2 linked regions of the Daphnia pulex genome follow. The protein of the gene in region 2 purifies or fractionates together with the protein of the main gene of each other region. This does not show direct contact. Links are inferred from orthologs where the notes say so. Each region holds a gene or a part of one and is shown on either strand. Other genes may lie near its edges.

Evidence for each region. The genes of interacting proteins can lie anywhere in the genome.
Region 1: the proteins of homeobox protein extradenticle-like (region 2) and homeobox protein Hox-B1a-like fractionate together in Drosophila melanogaster (co-fractionation; 5 studies listed by BioGRID). This does not show direct contact. The link is inferred for Daphnia pulex from reciprocal best matches to the Drosophila melanogaster genes exd and lab.

Annotation. Positions count from the first base shown.
Region 1 is NC_060024.1:12,526,762-12,530,512, forward strand, and holds the start of homeobox protein Hox-B1a-like, read left to right. Parts: upstream 1-1,326; 5' UTR 1,327-2,087; coding exon 2,088-3,342; intron 3,343-3,751. UniProt on the Drosophila melanogaster protein: Sequence-specific transcription factor which is part of a developmental regulatory system that provides cells with specific positional identities on the anterior-posterior axis. Required for proper head development.
Region 2 is NC_060023.1:11,356,412-11,360,162, forward strand, and holds the start of homeobox protein extradenticle-like, read left to right. Parts: upstream 1-1,014; 5' UTR 1,015-1,101; exon of another isoform or gene 1,102-1,191; intron 1,192-1,448; 5' UTR 1,449-1,524; coding exon 1,525-1,695; intron 1,696-1,757; coding exon 1,758-1,899; intron 1,900-1,964; coding exon 1,965-2,215; intron 2,216-2,305; coding exon 2,306-2,496; intron 2,497-2,571; coding exon 2,572-2,707; intron 2,708-2,775; coding exon 2,776-2,875; intron 2,876-2,954; coding exon 2,955-3,106; intron 3,107-3,173; coding exon 3,174-3,233; 3' UTR 3,234-3,751. Other genes in the region: surfeit locus protein 1-like, read left to right, coding at 1-93, 156-341, 393-566, 623-836. UniProt on the Drosophila melanogaster protein: Transcription factor which acts with the selector homeodomain proteins altering the regulation of downstream target genes such as wingless (wg), teashirt (tsh) and decapentaplegic (dpp), thus affecting segmental identity.

The DNA.
Region 1 (3,751 bases), on a different chromosome or scaffold from region 2:
TCACAGGTGGCGTGTGAAATGACACCAGTCCACGTCCAAACACATCATCATCATCTCTACCGCGGCCAAGCGAATTGCTGTTTGTCTTGTTGTCTTACCTGAGATTTTCGCCTGCAAAACCGGCAGCTCCCCCGAGAGATGATTTCTCCATTCCACGTCGTCGTCGTCGTCATTTCCCCATTGATGAAAACCACCACGACGCTCACTTGTAATGGAAAAGGCTGGCCGAGTTGACTGACAGCTCTTCCGTGTACCTCGCAATGACGCCACACACCAACAAAGACAACCTGCAATTCAAAAATTCCAAATTTCAAATTCCGACAAATCAAATATAAAAAAAGAAAAAAAAAAATGTGCGACATGTCATTTTCGGCCTTGCACACACACAGTAAGGCTCTCATATCTTCTTCTTCCTCCTCAGTGTGTGTGTGTGTGTGTGTGTGTTGGCTATATAAGCCGGCCACCAAGACCGCAGTGGCTCGGGCCACCTTTTATGGGAGCGGAGCAGAGAGAGCGCAGCGCGAGAGCATCAATAACTCGTCGCAATGGCCCATCCATCGTGCCACCACCCAGCCCTCTGTCATTAACGTGTCGGAAAAACCCCAGCAGTCGCCAGAGCGATCATCATGATCTATTTCACAAACGTTTAGGCATGATTTGTAACATTTATATTCCATCTCTCTTTCTCTCCCTGTGTGTCTGCTGACTGCCTTTCCGCAGATAATAGAAAACATCAAACATTTCCACCGACATTGCTCTCCAATTGATAATTCAAATCAAAAATAAAATTCACGCTTCCTCAACGGCCTTTTATCTTTCAAATTTTTGCATCGACCGTTTCTACAAACAATTCCAGAAAAATATAAACAGATAGAAACATCAATCCACTTCTTCGGTGGAAAAAAAAACGGAGAAAAATGTTCCGAGTCTTTCTCTTTTCTCGTCACGGTGTTTCGCTTCTTGTAATCATAGCGAGTCCCTTAGAAAAAAAAAAGATATAAACCATCGTGCGATGCACCATAGTCCCGCGCGGCGTAGGAGAGAAGAGCTACTCCACGACAGGGCGGTACACTCGGTGCGGCCATAGTCTCTCATGTGCTGTATAGAGACGCATACACACACAGACAGACACACTCGAGCTTGTCAAGGAGGGAAGGGAAGGAAATTGAGGCGTTGCTCGCGAGCAGCTCCCAATCGGCGACCCAATTGGTCGGCTGGCGCTAGTCACGTGACTCGGAGGGGAGGTCCTCTAGCGAGTCGAGCCAGTAGGCAGGCCTCCTTTCTCTCTACTATTATACACATCCACCCGTGTGTGTGTGTTGTGTGTGTGCATGTGTGTAGAGAGCCGAGTTTGCCCGTGTTCCTGCCCGCCTCGCACTGCAGTAACAACCAAACACCCACCCCATTTCCCCACCGAAGGAAAAAAGAAAAGAAGAAGAAAAAAAATACTGGCTGCTGGCCTGGCCCATCACGGCTGTTGGCATCTAGTACTCGGTCGTCGTAGTGTAACACGTACAGAGCCACGAGATAGAGAGACTTGACTAGAGTTCCGCCAACTATTTTTGTTTGTTTTTTCTAACCCTATGCCATCCGCTTCAAACTGACCAAACATTTTACTTCAATTCAAAAAGGCAAGAATTGCGCACACACACAAGTTGCGTCTTTTTGGCGACAAAATCAGATGAGGATTCGCTTCTTCTAGAGAGTGCGATGAGCCCGACCATCGGACTAACCATCCCACCACCACCGCTACTTCAATCTTGTTGTTGCCCGTGTCGTGGCCGCCGTTCAACAACCAAAATTTCGCAGTGAAAAAGCCAATTTCTTTTTGATTTGTTTCATTTCCCCCAGTTTGCCCCAGTCAACAATTTCGGTTTCTATATGAAGTGAGCAGTGTCGTCATTGGTGCAGCCCAAAAGTGTGAGAGTGACCCCTAATTTACAGTGTCAGGACGACAGATGATGTTACGTCATTGAGACGAGAACTCGATCAAAAGTGGACAAAAACAAAATTGGAATTTTGGGTTTCCTTTTTTGAATTTGAAAAAATCAAATTAAAAGACAAGAAACAAAACAAACAAACAAAAGATGAACGCCAACGTTCTTTACGGTGTTTGCAACGGTGACGGAGGCGTCGGCGTCGGTTACGGATCAGCGTCAAACTACGCGACAGATTTGGCCGGATCCGTCTACGGAGGAGTCTACGGAAGCGGATCCGTCAGTTCAAACAGCGGCGGAGGTTCGTCGGGCCAGGCCTCGACCCCGGAATCGAGCGGCCCGACGGGCGGCAGTGTTTTGGGCTCCGTCGGCCCGCCGCACTACCTGAGCCACCAGCAGCAGCAGACGCCCGATCCGCGAACGCCTCCGCTGACTCCGCACGATCAGCACACAAATTCCGGTTTGCTCCAGTCGGGAGACGTCGGCGGAGGCTCGGGAAACGGCCTCTCCTACACCAATTTGGACGCCAACGGATACGCCACGGCGGCCGCAGCTGCAGCGGCCGCTGCCGCCGCCACAGCCGCCGCCGCCTCCTACCACCTGAGCCCGCACAGCGTGGGGACGGGCATGGGCCAGCATTCGATATCTTCAGTGTCCGTCGGTAACAGCAGTGCCTACCAAACGGATTATTCCGGCCAGCACCACGGTTCGCCCAACCAGCAGCAGCAGCAGCAACATCATCAGCAATTGCACCAGCAGCAACAACAGCAACAACAGCACCACCACGCCCAGCACCAGCACGGAATACAACAGCAGCAACAGCAGCAGCAACAACATCACCACCATCAACAGCAACAACAACAACACCACCAGGTTCATCACCAGAGTCATCACGGACACCCACACCATCACCACTCTGTGCACCACGGGCATCATCAAGTCCATCCGGCCATGACGGGTCATGGCGTCGTGGTGGACGGCACCGTCGGAATCAACGGCCTATCAGCGGCGGCCGTCGCCATTCCCACGGGAGCGACGGCAGGTTACGGCTACCCGGACGTGACCCAGTACGGAGCCCGCGTCACACATCCAGCAGCCGCGGCGGCTGGCCATTTCGGCTCCTCCGTGGGACCGTACGGCGTCGGCGTCGGCGGGCCATCGCTGCGAGATCAATGCCAGGTCAACGGCATGCTCAACCTGGTTGGACTGGGAGCGGCCGCCGCGGCCGCTGCCCAGCACCCCGGCCAGCATCACAATCAACTCCAGGGGCAAAGTGGTGCAAGTGGCGGCGGAGGCAACGGCGGAGGAGTCCAGCCCAATCTCAACCACCCCGTCCAGCAACAACAGCAGTCCAACGTTCCCACCTACAAATGGATGCAAGTCAAACGGAATGTACCCAAACCTGGTACGTTTCTTTTTTAATCCATTCAATCATTGCATCCATTTGTTATTCCCAGCCAGAAATCTCACTAGGCCTATCATTTCTTTGAATGCCATCAACTTTGATTCGAGGCCTATCATTCATAGTTAAGATTGACCCCGACGGTCAAAATGAACCAAATCTTCAGCATCATTTGATTGTAGTCGAGTTAACTAGTTCAGACAAAAAGAAGGAGGATACAGCTCTAGATTCGAATCATTTAAAGAAAAATGGGTGCGGTCGGCGGTAGTCATGATCGCCTAGAAACGTTGGCCGCCCAAAAGGAAATAAAAAAGATGAAAGATGAGGAAGCCGCCAATCGGTCCCTGTAGGCCGGTCGTAAAAATAAGGAAAAACGGCCGCTCTCCTCTTTTTCAGAAAACGATTTTGAATG
Region 2 (3,751 bases):
CTGGCAGATTTTCAGACGTCAGTGGAAACTTGGTGTTATTGATCATCTTGCCAGCAGAACGTCTGCACCACCAATTCCATTTCAGTCTACAGAGTGAGACTGATACAATTCTTTAACTCTACCCTTTTATGCATATTTACACCAATGCTCTACAGTATTGAAGGGCTATCTGACATGGAATACCGGAAGTTTGAACTCCATGGAAAATTTGAACATGACAAAGAGATTTACATTGGGCCAAGATCACTGGTTGGAAATGAAAAAAATGAAGGTGGTGGGATGTTGTCTTCAGGGCAGAGTGGCTATTTAGTCATCACTCCATTTAAACTATCAGATTCCAAGTAAGACATTCAAACAGTTAATTTTCTCAATTTTCTACAAGTTACTTTTAGTCTCACAGTTCTTGTAAACCGCGGATGGATTCCTCGTAAAAAAATGAATCCATTCACCAGACTAAATGGACAAAGAGAAGGCGAAACAAAACTGATTGGAGTGTACCGCTCTAATGAAAATCGCCCCCAGTTTGTACCCCAAAATCAGCCCAAAGACCGCATGTTTCATTTCAGGTAAAGACAATTATATTTTTCGCAAAGTTAGATAACTTCATATATATTGCGTACAGAGATGTGGAGGGAATGGCTCGGCTTCTAGACACTGCGCCAATTTTCTTTGACGCGGACGCTGATAGCACAGTACCGGATGGACCTGTAGGTGGACAAACAGTTGTTACTGTTAGAAATGAACACGTTTCGTACATTTTAACGTGGTATTCATTATCAATTATCACAGCATTTTTGTGGCATCGACGATTTATCAAGAAAATGCCTCTTATGTAACTTAAATGTATTTATCTTCATAGAGGTTAAAGTCAAATTAATACATTTTAACATCAAACATCATTATATTTTTACTCTTGTTGCGTTTTCATTTGTAAAAATAAAATTTTAATTAATAAAATTCAAAATAAAAAATAAATACAGTATCGCGAGTTTCTAGTACATCGATTATTGGCTTACCCGATATAATTATCGATACTTACCTTTGTGATCGCGTTCTCGCGTCTTTTTTGCTTTGTCCCGTCGATAATCTCGGCGATCTCTGGTAATTATTTTATGAGCCTTTGAGAAATGTGATTCAGTCTGTTTGAATACTAAACAACTCGTGAATTCCCGGTTTCAAATTGTGTGTCAAGTCAGTAAAGAAAGTTTTTATTCTAATTGAAAGAAATACGCTACGCAAGCAAACTTCTCTTCCATGGCGGACGCTTGTCGCCTTGGGCATTTTATAAGACGTTGGCATTTTTATATTAACCGAAGCCAATTTTTGTTATTTACGATTGCTTTCTTGCAATACTAGTGCTTTGTTGTGTCTAGTACATTTCATTTTATGTTTACATTTCATGAAATCACATGTATGGATGTTAGTAAACGGAAAGTCATTGTTTACAGGGTCTTTATTGCCAGGTCCTGTAGCCTGAAGGCAATACGTTTTGTGCAGTGACATTGGAAGATTTCATTGCTTTTGATGGATGATCCAAATCGACTTATGCATCCTGTTCCAGGTGGCCAGGTTGGACTAATGCATCAGCCACCGTATGGGTTACCTCCTGTCAATGTCGGAGTCAATGTTGGGGTTAACATGGCTTCACTTGATGGAGGGAACCAAGACTCTGAAAATATGACTGGACGAAAGCAGGTGTGTACAATTCCATTTCCAAAATCTTTTTTTCCTTTTAAGTAAAACTTCTTTTTTTTTAGGATATTGGAGAAATTCTGCAACAGATCATGAACATCACAGACCAGAGTCTTGATGAAGCCCAAGCACGCAAGCATACCCTGAACTGTCATCGCATGAAACCTGCTTTGTTTTCTGTCTTGTGTGAAATCAAAGAGAAAACTGGTAACCCTATTTCAATATGAATCCAAGTGATTGAATGGTAACATTAAATTGTGCTCTCACTTTAGTTTTGTCGCTACGCAACACGCAAGAAGAGGAGCCTCCAGATCCGCAACTCATGCGGTTGGATAACATGTTGATTGCTGAAGGAGTAGCTGGTCCTGAAAAAGGAGGTGGGGCCGGTGCTGCTGCCAATGCATCAGCTGCAGCGTCTCAAAGCGGCTCAATGTCGGACTCGGCTATTGAACACTCTGATTATAGGGCTAAGTTGGCACAAATTCGTCAAATTTACCATCAAGAGCTTGAGAAATATGAGCAGGTACACATTTTTAGCAATGCTTATTTTTTTATTGGACCTCTATGACAAGAAAATGGAGAATAACCATTTCATTTTTACATCCGCTTTCAGGCTTGCAGTGAATTCACCACCCATGTTATGAATTTGCTCCGAGAACAATCCCGTACTCGTCCGATTACACCCAAGGAGATTGAGCGGATGGTTCAGATCATTCATCGCAAGTTTAGCTCCATCCAAATGCAGCTGAAGCAAAGCACTTGCGAGGCCGTTATGATTTTACGATCTCGTTTCCTCGACGCCAGGTAAATTTTGCTATTTTTTTAAGGTTTGACCACGCCCATTAAAGGTGTTGTTCTATCGATGTCTTCATCATGTAGGAGGAAGCGGCGTAACTTCAGCAAACAAGCTTCTGAGATCTTGAATGAGTACTTCTACTCGCACCTAAGCAACCCCTACCCAAGTGAAGAAGCCAAAGAAGAGCTCGCTCGTAAATGTGGGATCACCGTTTCACAGGTTAATTTCTTTTTAAATCCTTTTAAGAGGAATAAGCGCATTAATGTTTTGTTATTTTTACAAAAAAGGTTTCGAATTGGTTCGGTAACAAACGAATTCGTTACAAGAAAAACATTGGAAAAGCCCAAGAGGAGGCCAACCTGTATGCTGCTAAAAAGGCCGCGGGTAGTTGTTTCCACTCTGAGGATTTTCAAATCCTCGTATTACCGGAGCGATTCTAATTTTCGTACTTTTTCTTTCTCGTTAGGTTCCTCGCCATACAGTATGGCTGGAACTCCCGGACCGATGATGTCGCCTCAACCTGGTGGTCCTGAACTCAGGGGTCCACAAGATTCCTTAGGCCCGTACGGTGCTATGGGACTCAACGGTGGTGACTTTCCTTCCTCCATGGGCGGCCAAGTAAACTACTTTTAATGACTTAACTAGTGGTATCTCAGCATATTAATTAATGTAAACGTGTTTGTAGGGCTATGGCGATTCATCGATGGGTTATGATCCAAGTATGCATCAAGTGAATTCACCCTGAGGGGTGGACGAGTGCCCCTTCTCCTCCTCCACCCTATTTCTCGGCAAATCAACTCTTAATTTACTAACTTCATCAGATCTTGATCATACTGTGCGTTACAAGCTATCTTCAGCTGTTCGATTAACTCGTTCTAACCCATCTCGTACTCCTTCTTTTGTCCCTTCCTCTCAGTGCAGCTTTGTTGTTTCGTCTTGATAGAAAATGTTTCTGTGGATCACCTCGATCGGTGCTTGTTTTTTCTCATTTGTTTCAGAAACCTCTGTAGTTTTAATCGCTTTTGCGTATAGTTGAAACCGTCGATGTAGTCGTTATCGTTTTTATTTGACAACTAGAAGTGAACCGAACATCTCCGATTACAATCACGTACGCTCTCCCGTCACCGAAAAAACGATCATCAGTATTCTCGAAAATCCACATCCCACGGACCCGAGTCCTATTTCTAAAAAAACAAAAAAAACACAAGAATTCCCATCAAGTTTGCGTTTTAACTGAAAAAAAATACTTTTCTTTTGATATGG